Linked DNA regions of Saccharomyces cerevisiae S288C. Changing the gene in region 1 together with any one later gene gives a genetic interaction. Each region holds a gene or a part of one and is shown on either strand. Other genes may lie near its edges.

Region 1 (5,839 bases):
GCCAAAAATATCATCCAAGGAGCTGTTCGGAGCCGTCAAAGCGGACCCTAATATTGTCAAAATAGGGCCTATCTGCGGGATCACCTTGCTTACATTGATGTGTTTGATATCGGCTTCACCGATGTATATATTCGTTAAGGGTTTGTAGTTGGCGGTGGAGCCAGCAGTGGCTACAATAACCAATATCAGTGTGGTGAACATGAATAAAAGGCACACAGACAATATCGTCCAAATAATTCCCTTCGACAGGGGGGTACGGTGCTTTTCGATCCTCATGTTTTTGTTGTTTTCTTTGCTTTCCTAACTCTTCGTATGAGGATTTTCGATGGAGCAGGATGAGGAGAAATAGTACCACATGTATATATCCATTACAAAAAGGTTTATATACAATTACAATAGACCCTTGTTGGGGTTTCTGAAAAAAGAAGTAGTCGATGCCATCGGCAATAATACGGAATTACGAGAAACACAATCCCGATCCTTTTTTGGGTAATTACTTCACCGATTCTACCGATTTATCATGCCAAAAAAAATTCACCGTGGGTTCTAGAAGTGCCCTTTGAGGATTGTAGCCACTCTAACCCACACGGCCTCCTTACTAGCTGACTAAGGTGACAAAACCGCAAGGACTGGAAAGTCGCCACTCATCTGAAAATTCTCAAGTTTTTCACTACTGAGTTTATGCTTTCGAATTTTTTTGTTCGGTAATAGCACGGCGGTTCGATTCAATTCCGCCGCTCCGAGCGATGCTCCGCAAAACTCAGTAATAAGCTTTCTGATGGTTCACCCCTTTTTTAGCACGCGGGGTGTAACTCAACAGAAAAATGTGCCATAGAACAAGACTAGGCAAAAGCCAAGGAGCGTTTGCCATGAACTTCCACAAGTAAAGCTCGTTGACCAGTTGATCAGTTGAGGGGGGTACACACGACTAGCGCTTTCAGATATTAAAAAGTTTAGATGTAGGTTTTAGCGGTAACAGTTATATAAATCGTGTTTCTTCTCTTGATGAAACAAAAAAATGCTAGAAAAACTTTGTCGTTTCTTACTTTTGGTGCGCTTTGCAGTTTTCGTGGCTAGACTTAGAATCATTTCTCCTCAGATTTCTTGATTAAAGTTTGGTGCGAAGCCCTACTCTAACATTGGTGTTCTTCTTTTCATTCACGCAAGTTAAGTCCAGGAAGGTGAGCAAATGCTCATCCTTCTGTTCATGCGTGACGGCTGAATTATCCTTATCTGGCGTACCCGTGCAGCCGTTTCCGTGCCTCGGTTCCTCCGAGATATCCTTAGGGACCGCCAGGGACCATGATTGCGTCAACTGTTGTCACCGCTCCAGAGGATCCTCTGTAACCTTTTCAACCATAAAAATAGAAAGGGCACAGGGTTGGGGTATTTGAATTTTTTTTTTGGGTTTTTTCGTATTACTTATTACTTACCTTCTTTTCTATATAATTTTGTTTTTCCCTGGTAGAGCGGAATCTTCCCACTAAATTTTTAGCAGAGAATCCTCGGGTTTGTAAACCATGTTATAGTTAAACCCCGATATTACACCATTAAAATCATTTCTAAATATGCGGTCGTCGATGATCAGCTGCAGGGAAATGCCAAAATATGGACCCCATAGAGGTCTTGGCTTGTTCATATCGTTGGGTCGATTTCTGTTCCCAGTGTTATTTGGTTGAATGGGAACAGTCGCGTCTTGCCCCATCTTGTCTCTGCCGCTTTCGTCGAATCTGACTTTGCAATTGACGTTGCATATCAACGTGCCGGATCCCGGAATAGCGTGATAGTCTACTCCTGTTAGGGCATGTTGTGTTTGTACGACCTGGTTTTGCCACATTTGCAGAAAAACTGTTGCTTGCGCGAAGGGGGTAGCATTAAATATTATTCTGCAGTTGTTTGGATTAAAAAGCTGTACGAATTGGGCCAATTTGTTGGAGTCCGGATCATCCAAATGCGCTAATATCTTCTTCGTAAATGTGGCCGTTATTTGTGCTTGATTTGCGTCATTCATTACCATAGTATTACTATTGGTGTTCATATTTCTGTTATTACTGTTATTAGTTTGGCGTTTTGCCTGACGATCAGCCTGGTGGGGCCAAGTATATACTATAAAAACAGGTTAGTTACTTGCTCTATGCGTTTGCGCATCCTCTTTTTACTTTTTTTTTTTCAGTAAAGCCTAAGCATAAATCGTTTTATACGTACGACACGTTCAACTTTTCTTGGTTAGTAGTGGCAATCTCTGCAATACATACAGGGAGTCATGGTCTATCATCTTGTCCAATCAAAGAAGCATCGGTTCAGATCGAGCAAACTGTAGGGAGAAAGGAAAGTAGAAATGCAGAGTGTGCTATATGTCCAATCTCGGTTTTGTAGTTTGGATGTCATTAGAGATCTACCACCCAACCGGCTGCTTTCATGTGGAACAGAAAAGAAATCGGGGCGCTTCCTCTTCTGTATTCCTTTAATTAACGTTTTTATTCAGCCATCTAACCATCATACCCCCATACGGTAACAAAACCTCTTCTAAGAAAAGAAGTCTCTGCTCCTCCGCCATCTTATTTTTATTCGCTGCGCGCGTTTATTGTCGCATCGCTAGCCAGCAAAAAGTTGGTTGCCTTTTTTTACCTAAAAAAGACACATCTAACTGATTAGTTTTCCGTTTTAGGATATTGACGCCAAGCGTGCGTCTGATTTCTACGATATGTCTCTAATTTTGGAAGGGCCATTTTATTTTTGAGGATTGGGCTGATCATTTTCCTTACGTGGATTGAGCCAGCAATACAGATCATTATTAAACTGTTTTGTACATGATGTTAGTATATAATCGTAAAGCTTTTCTAATATGTATACCTTATACATGGAACTCCACAGAACTTGCAAACATACCAAAAATCCTTTATTCTTGTTCACTCATTTTACATCAAAAAATAATATTTCAGTTATTAAGGAAAATAAAAAAATAGATTAGAGAAGCATTTTGAAGAAATAGTATATTCTTTTATTGAACCTAAGAGCGTGATATTTTTACTCGAAATAAAATACGAAAAATCTATACACTCATCTTTCCGACTACTATTGGCTCCTGCTCAAAAAAAGAGGGAAAAAAAGCTCCAAAATTCTATCTTTTCCTATCGCTCCTGTCCTATCCTTATTACGTTCATTACTATTTTAATACTATCCATTCTTTTATTTTCAGTCTAAAAAAAACATTTCTCATAACGGGAAAAGCAAAAAAATGTCAAGCTTATACATCAAAACACCACTGCATGCATTATCTGCTGGTCCGGATTCTCATGCAAATAGCTCCTATTATGACAATCTTTTATTGCCTTCATTTTCCAATTTATCCAGTAATATCAGCAGGAACAATATCACAACCGATAACAATATAAATTCAGCAAGTCCTAGGAAGTATTCGTTTCATTCGCTCAATGTGTCGCCAATTCTTTCCCCAATATCTTTGGCTAACGAAATACTTGGAAAAAAATCAAATACTGCACCAGCATCGCCACATCATATGGATTACAATCCAATTTCCTCATTAACACCAGGCAATTCACCAGAATTCAACAAGGCAAGCTTATCTCAGATTAGTTTTACAAATCCATTGAACTATGGGTCTGGCTTAGGTTTTTCCTCTAATTCACAACCTCGACTACCATTGTTAGACAGGCTATCGTCCGTCTCTTTATCTAAGAGACCGGAGCGCCCACAACAAAGCCTACCATCACTAAGGCATCTGCAATTATTACCCAGTCCTCTTTTACAAGAAAACGCAGCACGCTTCCCTGATACATCAAAACGTACATCTAATTGGAAAACTGATCTTACCCATTGGTGTAAGGATACAAACTATCAAGACTATGTTAAAATACGCGAAGAAGTGGCTCATTTCAAGCCATTAAGTATACCCAACTTAACTAATAATCAAAATAATGATAGTTTCAATTACGGCAAGGAATTGGAATCGACTAGGTCGTCCAAGTTCCATTCCCCGTCTAAGGAATCATTTGATCGTACCAAACTAATTCCTTCGATTCTAGAAGCTAAAGATCAATTTAAAGATCTTTCCAACAATGCATGGAGTATTACTCCTCCCGTCACACCGCCGATGAGTCCACCAACCAATAGAACCATGGAGCGCACGACGCTTAGAGGAGTAGAGGCCTCTTTTTTTGAGGGGAAATCCAGCAATAACGATTCAATATTCAATCCAATTATTAGTGAAAAATTGGTTCAAGAAGTTAAACATCAAAGACAATTACGTGGAAATTCATTTCCCATGCCAAATGCCAGTCACAAAAAGACGAACAGTTTCAAAGCTTTGCAAATAAAAAAATTGCTTGCGAATAGAGACATTCTATCGAACAATTCCAAATCTAATGTAAGGAAACCATCTAAGAACAAAATCTCAAAGCAAGCATCAAATGTTTTCGGTAACACTGCAAGACAATTGGTGATGAAACTCGACAACGCTAGTTACAGTTCTGTCTCTGCATCTTCATCTCCATCTCCCTCCACACCGACGAAAAGTGGCAAGATGAGATCAAGATCATCCTCACCTGTGCGTCCCAAGGCATACACTCCAAGCCCAAGGTCACCCAATTATCATAGATTTGCTCTCGACTCTCCCCCTCAAAGCCCTCGAAGATCATCAAATTCAAGCATAACGAAAAAGGGAAGTAGAAGGTCCAGTGGCTCATCACCCACTCGTCACACCACAAGAGTGTGCGTGTCGTGTCATTCGAGTGATTCGCCCTGTTGGAGGCCATCGTGGTCGCCAAGAAAGCAAGATCAGCTATGTAACTCTTGTGGTCTTCGATATAAAAAAACACATACAAGATGTTTGAACGATTTATGTCGTAAGATCCCCACAAAGGGTGAAATAAACATTATGAAATCCAATGGAATAGACAAAGAATTCGTCCCCGAACGCAACTGCGAAATTGAAGGGTACCGTTGCTTATTTTGTAATTACATAACTGAGACAGTAGAGAATTGATACATGGATAACTGAATCTCTTTCAACTAATAAGAGACATTATCACGAAACAATTGTACATTTCTCTCCTTGTCTGTGCTAAATAAACTACAAATAAAAATTCATTTTCTTTCATTTTCATTCGACACGCCGCGGCATCTTCGTTTTCTTCACCGATTAATTTTAATCTGCGCCGTGCAGATATTTTCGCCCATTTCGAAGTGAAATCATTCTAATAACTTCTCCTGCGCAATAGATTGGTCATCCTGATTTTTATTCTGAAATCGAAAATGAAAAGCATTTATTGCACTGAAATAGCGGAACCTGCTTCTAATAAGCTTAAAATTCAATCATAATAGTGTAGTTAATAGAAAGGACAGAAGAACTTTTCGTTCCTTGGTTTATCATCCAGGTTTCAGCACGGCTTTTGTTTCAAGTTTAAGTAGGTAAGATTTTTTGATTGTTCTACAACTTTTTCATAGTAATCAAAACCTTTGAATTTCAAACTTACTATGTCTAGTACTCAAGTAGGAAATGCTCTATCTAGTTCCACTACTACTTTAGTGGACTTGTCTAATTCTACGGTTACCCAAAAGAAGCAATATTATAAAGATGGCGAGACGCTGCACAATCTTTTGCTTGAACTAAAGAATAACCAAGATTTGGAACTTTTACCGCATGAACAAGCGCATCCTAAAATATTTCAAGCGCTCAAGGCTCGTATTGGTAGAATTAATAATGAAACGTGCGACCCCGGTGAGGAGAACTCGTTTTTCATATGCGATTTGGGAGAAGTCAAGAGATTATTCAACAACTGGGTGAAGGAGCTTCCTAGAATTAAGCCATTTTATGCCG
Region 2 (5,571 bases), on another chromosome or scaffold:
ATGCATATAACGATTTCATATCGACAACCACTACTGAACCAACAAGCAGGGCTTCCTACATGAGCGAGAACGACATGCTCATCGAGGAGGCCATAAGGTCCGTGGACGATTACATGGGCACACCAAGAGCATCGCCATCTTCTTCATCTTCGTCGTCATCGTCGTCATCGTCTTTAGGCTCTTCAACAACTTATTATTGTAGGCCCGTATATAGGTTAAAGCCAAACGCACCATTTCAATATGAGGGGCCATTCCATGTACAAGAAACCATGGACTTTCCTTATAAACCTGAGGCTAATAATGAATACGTGCTTCTGGAACGTCAATTCAGCGTTCCACCCGGCCTACTTTTCATTATGATGTTCAATGAAGATAATCCAGTTTTTGAGTTAAGCTTTTTGAAAACTCAAGATTCGTCCAACATCTCACACATAGGGACTTTTGAAAAAGTCAATAAAGATGGACAACATTACAGAGAATTCCAATACACCAAACAGCTGCATTTCCCTGTGGGGCCCAAATCCACAAACTGTGAGGTAGCGGAAATTCTTTTACACTGCGACTGGGAAAGGTACATAAATGTTTTAAGTATAACAAGAACACCAAATGTTCCTAGTGGTACCAGTTTCAGCACCAGAACGAGGTACATGTTCCGATGGGATGACCAGGGGCAAGGTTGCATATTAAAAATAAGTTTTTGGGTGGACTGGAACGCATCCAGTTGGATCAAGCCAATGGTAGAGAGCAATTGTAAAAATGGACAAATTAGCGCCACTAAGGACTTGGTAAAGTTAGTCGAAGAATTTGTAGAGAAATACGTGGAATTGAGCAAAGAAAAAGCAGATACACTCAAGCCGTTGCCCAGTGTTACATCTTTTGGATCACCTAGGAAAGTGGCAGCACCGGAGCTGACGATGGTACAGCCGGAGTCGAAACCAGAAGCTGAGGCGGAAATCTCAGAAATAGGCAGCGACAGATGGAGGTTTAACTGGGTGAACATAATAATCTTGGTGCTCTTGGTGTTAAATCTGCTGTATTTAATGAAGTTGAACAAGAAGATGGATAAGCTGACGAACCTCATGACCCACAAGGACGAAGTTGTAGCGCACGCGACTCTATTGGACATACCAGCCAAAGTACAATGGTCAAGACCAAGAAGGGGAGACGTGTTGTAACAGAGTAATCATGTAATATTGTATGTAAGGTTATGTATGTTCGTATGGTATGGAAAAAAAAAAAAAAAAAGGATGCTATGTGGAGAATGTAAGGCGTGGTAGCTCCGGATAATTCAGTCTGTAGGCTTCATCACGGGCAGTGGCCTGACTCTGAGAGCTTGCTCCGGTATTAAGTTGTGCGTTTGAAATTTTCTGGAAAAAAGAAATTGATTGGTTGAAGCTATACTCGTCGAAAGATTTCTTCGGCAGTGGTTGTTGCTCCACCTGCACGGGAGTTGTGTTTGCGTTTATGTTCGGCTTGGCTATATTATTAGCGAGTGATGTTTGCAATTTGCTGTATTGAGAATCAATTTGGGTGCGTAAGCTTTCAATAATTTTGCAGACCGCAGGCACTTCCAACTTTATGAGTTGCAGGTATTCTCTTTTATGAATATACGATGACGACGATGACGACGACGCATCCATGCGCAAAAGCTCAGGGTGTCTAGATAGTTTGTTAGTCAATAAATCCACATATCTAAAATAATAAATAAACGACAGCGACAAGTCGTTGGCCTGGAACGCACACTGTGCCTTTTCCAATATGCCGATGCATGTTTTCAGGTAAATTCTCAATGGTATCGCCGGATTGAAGCGATAATCCTTAGCGTCCTGAACCAATTGCTTACTAGACTTCATGACCTACCGGGGCCAGATAAAGATGCGGAAGGAAGAGAAAAAATGTATAGTGGTTGGTGAACCGCAACAATAATTCGTGCCAACACTTTAATCGAAGCAAAAATTGTCTTGTATGTTATTAATATTATCTATCTAACCATTGATTTACGTATAAAACTGTCGATGCTCATCGCCTAGCAATGAAAAAATTTTTTCTTTTTTTTTTCATTATTTCTCTTTGTTGCGTACTTTTTTTCATTGCGTTTCGCGGCAAAAGCGATTCGAGTTGACTGGAAGTGTGTTATACTATAAAAAGTGTATATGCCTATTTTTGGTTCTGATCTTTACTTTACTGTTAAGTACTGGCTGAGGCAGTAGACTCTGCCTCTGTTACGGCAGCGGTATTCGCCTCGGCATCAGCAGCCGCCCACGGTAGAGTAGGTTCTGTTGTTTTGACGTTTGCCAAGGTACTGTCCAAATGCTCCTTCAGCAAGGCCTCATTACTTTCCTTCTCCGGACCCACCGATTGCGTGATCTCCTGTACACGGTTCAAGAACTTGTTCAAATTGTAGCCCGCAGCAGCATCAGAGACTTCTTGTGTGTAAGGGACACCCCTCAACTCCTTGACTCTTCTTTTGTGCACTTTGCCCTTTAAATGCGTTTTTAACGCTATAGCAGTCTCCATGTATTTGGCACAGTGTATGCAATAGTGCTGACCAAGGCCCGGTTTGGTTTCATCCAATGGCTGGTTCAGAAGCTTCTGTACTGATTCCTTGGTGGACAAATCGTTATAGATCAGGTCCAAGTCTCGTGTTCTTCTTTTAGTCTTGTATCTCTTCACCGAATATCTACCCATGATGCGCTATTGTTTTATCTTCACTTGTCTGTGTGTTTAACTGCCTTTCAATTCACCTCATCTCATCTCCCGCTACTTTCCATATATAAAAGCAAAATTAATTTGCTTTTTCCCCTGTCAGTATAAAAAAATTTTCCGCAGGATATAGAAAAAAAAGAAATGAAATTATAGTAGCGGTTATTTCCGTGGGGTGCTTTTTTACACCTGTACATCTTTTCCCTCCGTACATTTTTTTTATTTTTTTTTTTGGTTTTTTTTTTTCGATATTTTTCCCTCCGAAACTAGTTAGCACAATAATGCTGACTAAGGAAACTTTTCATCTCAGAATTGATGGTCAGTTTGGTTTCTCTAGAGAATAGTTTATAAAAAGATGTTGATGTGGAGCAACCATTTATACATCCTTTCCGCAAGTGCTTTTGGAGTGGGACTTTCAAACTTTAAAGTACAGTATATCAAATAACTAATTCAAGATGGCTAGAAGACCAGCTAGATGTTACAGATACCAAAAGAACAAGCCTTACCCAAAGTCTAGATACAACAGAGCTGTTCCAGACTCCAAGATCAGAATCTACGATTTGGGTAAGAAGAAGGCTACCGTCGATGAATTCCCATTGTGTGTCCATTTGGTTTCCAACGAATTGGAACAATTGTCTTCTGAAGCTTTGGAAGCTGCTCGTATCTGTGCCAACAAGTACATGACTACTGTCTCCGGTAGAGATGCTTTCCACTTAAGAGTCAGAGTCCATCCTTTCCATGTCTTGAGAATCAACAAGATGTTGTCTTGTGCCGGTGCGGATAGATTGCAACAAGGTATGAGAGGTGCTTGGGGTAAGCCACACGGTTTGGCCGCTCGTGTCGACATTGGTCAAATTATCTTCTCTGTCAGAACCAAGGACAGCAACAAGGATGTTGTCGTTGAAGGTTTGAGAAGAGCCAGATACAAGTTCCCAGGTCAACAAAAGATTATTTTGTCTAAGAAGTGGGGTTTCACCAACTTGGACAGACCAGAATACTTGAAGAAGAGAGAAGCTGGTGAAGTCAAGGACGACGGTGCTTTCGTTAAGTTCTTGTCCAAGAAGGGTTCTTTGGAAAACAACATCAGAGAATTCCCAGAATACTTTGCTGCTCAAGCTTAAGTTCTTTTCAAACATTTGAACTAACTTAAAAGAGAAATTTTTTTGATTTAAATTCTAGTTTATTAAACAGTAAATATATTTATACATTATTGTAATACATATAATTATGTGTTTTTTTAAAGTTCAGCATGTTGGGTAGTGATATATCCTGAAGTCAATGGACACTGTTGCTTTTTGTATACCAGCAGGAAAAAAAAAAGCCTGAGCTGCAGTAACGAAGAATTGTTGAATGCGTCTAACAAGAAAGGGAGCAATCGATAACAGGGACGTGCGCCGCTAATGTCATTCAGATTATTCACGAGGACTTCTCAACGTCTCCCTCGCCTTAACTGGGTTAGTCCCATCAGGCGATACGCCAAACAACCTCAATACGATGAAGCAGAGTTGTTTGCAGAGAACATTAACCATGGCGCATATAAAGCAAAGAAAAGGCCATCAGACGAGCATTTCCAATGGCCTGAGAAGTCTCCTGATCAGATCACAAAGGAATCTGAACTCCAATGGGAAAGGATGGCGAAATTATCTGCTGTTGGGCAAGGGATCCTCATTCTCGTGGTAGTGGGTGGGTTGGGAACGGCCTACTTGCGTTGGCCAGAATTAAAATCCTGGTGGTTAATCAAGATGAATGGCGGTCGCATAAATGCAACGCAAGAGCAAAGTGGACAGGATTCGTTGGAAAAATTGATCAGACAAAAGGCCAAAAATCTATTAAGGGAGATTCCTCAAGTGCCTGCCTTTCAACTTGGAATAGATCATCCTGGTGTATACATATGGGGAAGGTGTCATTCTAAGGACTCATTGTTCCCTGTTAGAGTACCTAATTTGGATGGTCGTAAATTCAGAGATATCCTATTAGCTCCCTCTGACGATTTCAACACCAATTTTGCAATTGACGAGAAAGGCGATTTGATATCGTGGGATGATTTGGGACAAACAAAAACGATATTGCCAGATCAAGATTTGACCTCAATGAAGTATTCTAGTCACTTTTTGTACGCTTTGAATAAAAAGGGTGAAATATTGGTCATACCTATAAGAACGCCGGATCTGATAGCTTCGCAAGTATCATCAAGAAGGTCGAAATTGTTGCCATGGAAGACAAAACTAAGATATGATTGGAAATTACAAACAAATCAGATTTTCAACGGTAAGGAAGGAGAAAAACGTGTAGTACAATTTGACGCTGGTAGCCATCATCTGGTGTTGCTATCTAATTTAGGTAAGGCTTATTGCTGCGCGACGGGAAATGATCAAAAACAAGCTCAAGTATCCAAAGGACAATTCGGTATACCAACATTCTCACAATTCGATGAGTTTCCTCCCAATAATCAACTATTCGAAATTGAACTGCTGAACAAATTTAAGCATGAAGGAGAAGACGTTGTCCGCAAAAGAGAAATTAAAAAGATAGCTTGCGGGTCGTACCATACACTGGCAATAGATAAGACTGGTGAAATTTATGCCTTTGGCTGGAATAGGTTCGGCCAATTGGCACTACCTATTTCGTACAATCTAGAATATGTTTCTTTCCCAAGATCGGTAACGCATGCATTTAAACCGCATTTCCCGGGGATGACGAATTGGAAATGTGTGGATATTCATTGTGATGATGAAACATCGTTTGTGACCATTCGTAAGCCTGGCTCAACGTCAGACCATCATTATTTCGCGTTTGGTAATGGACTTTTTGGTGAATTGGGCAACAACACTTTCAAGAACTCGCAATGTGATCCCATAAAAATCAAGT

The links.
Region 2: mutations in MTR2 (region 1) and BUD20 are lethal when combined (synthetic lethality), as found in Saccharomyces cerevisiae (2 studies listed by BioGRID).

Annotation. Positions count from the first base shown.
Region 1 is NC_001143.9:91,261-97,099, forward strand, and holds MTR2 (Mtr2p), read right to left. Parts: upstream 2,039-5,839; coding exon 1,484-2,038; downstream 1-1,483. Other genes in the region: FAT3 (Fat3p), read right to left, coding at 1-276; DNA-binding transcription repressor ASH1, read left to right, coding at 3,239-5,005; ornithine decarboxylase SPE1, read left to right, coding at 5,497-5,839. UniProt on the Saccharomyces cerevisiae protein: Affects mRNA transport from the nucleus to the cytoplasm.
Region 2 is NC_001144.5:279,769-285,339, forward strand, and holds BUD20 (Bud20p), read right to left. Parts: upstream 2,689-5,571; coding exon 2,188-2,688; downstream 1-2,187. Other genes in the region: LAM6 (Lam6p), read left to right, coding at 1-1,175; RFU1 (Rfu1p), read right to left, coding at 1,251-1,853; 60S ribosomal protein uL16 RPL10, read left to right, coding at 3,159-3,824; FMP25 (Fmp25p), read left to right, coding at 4,104-5,571. UniProt on the Saccharomyces cerevisiae protein: Involved in pre-60S ribosomal particles maturation by promoting the nuclear export of the 60S ribosome. Involved in positioning the proximal bud pole signal.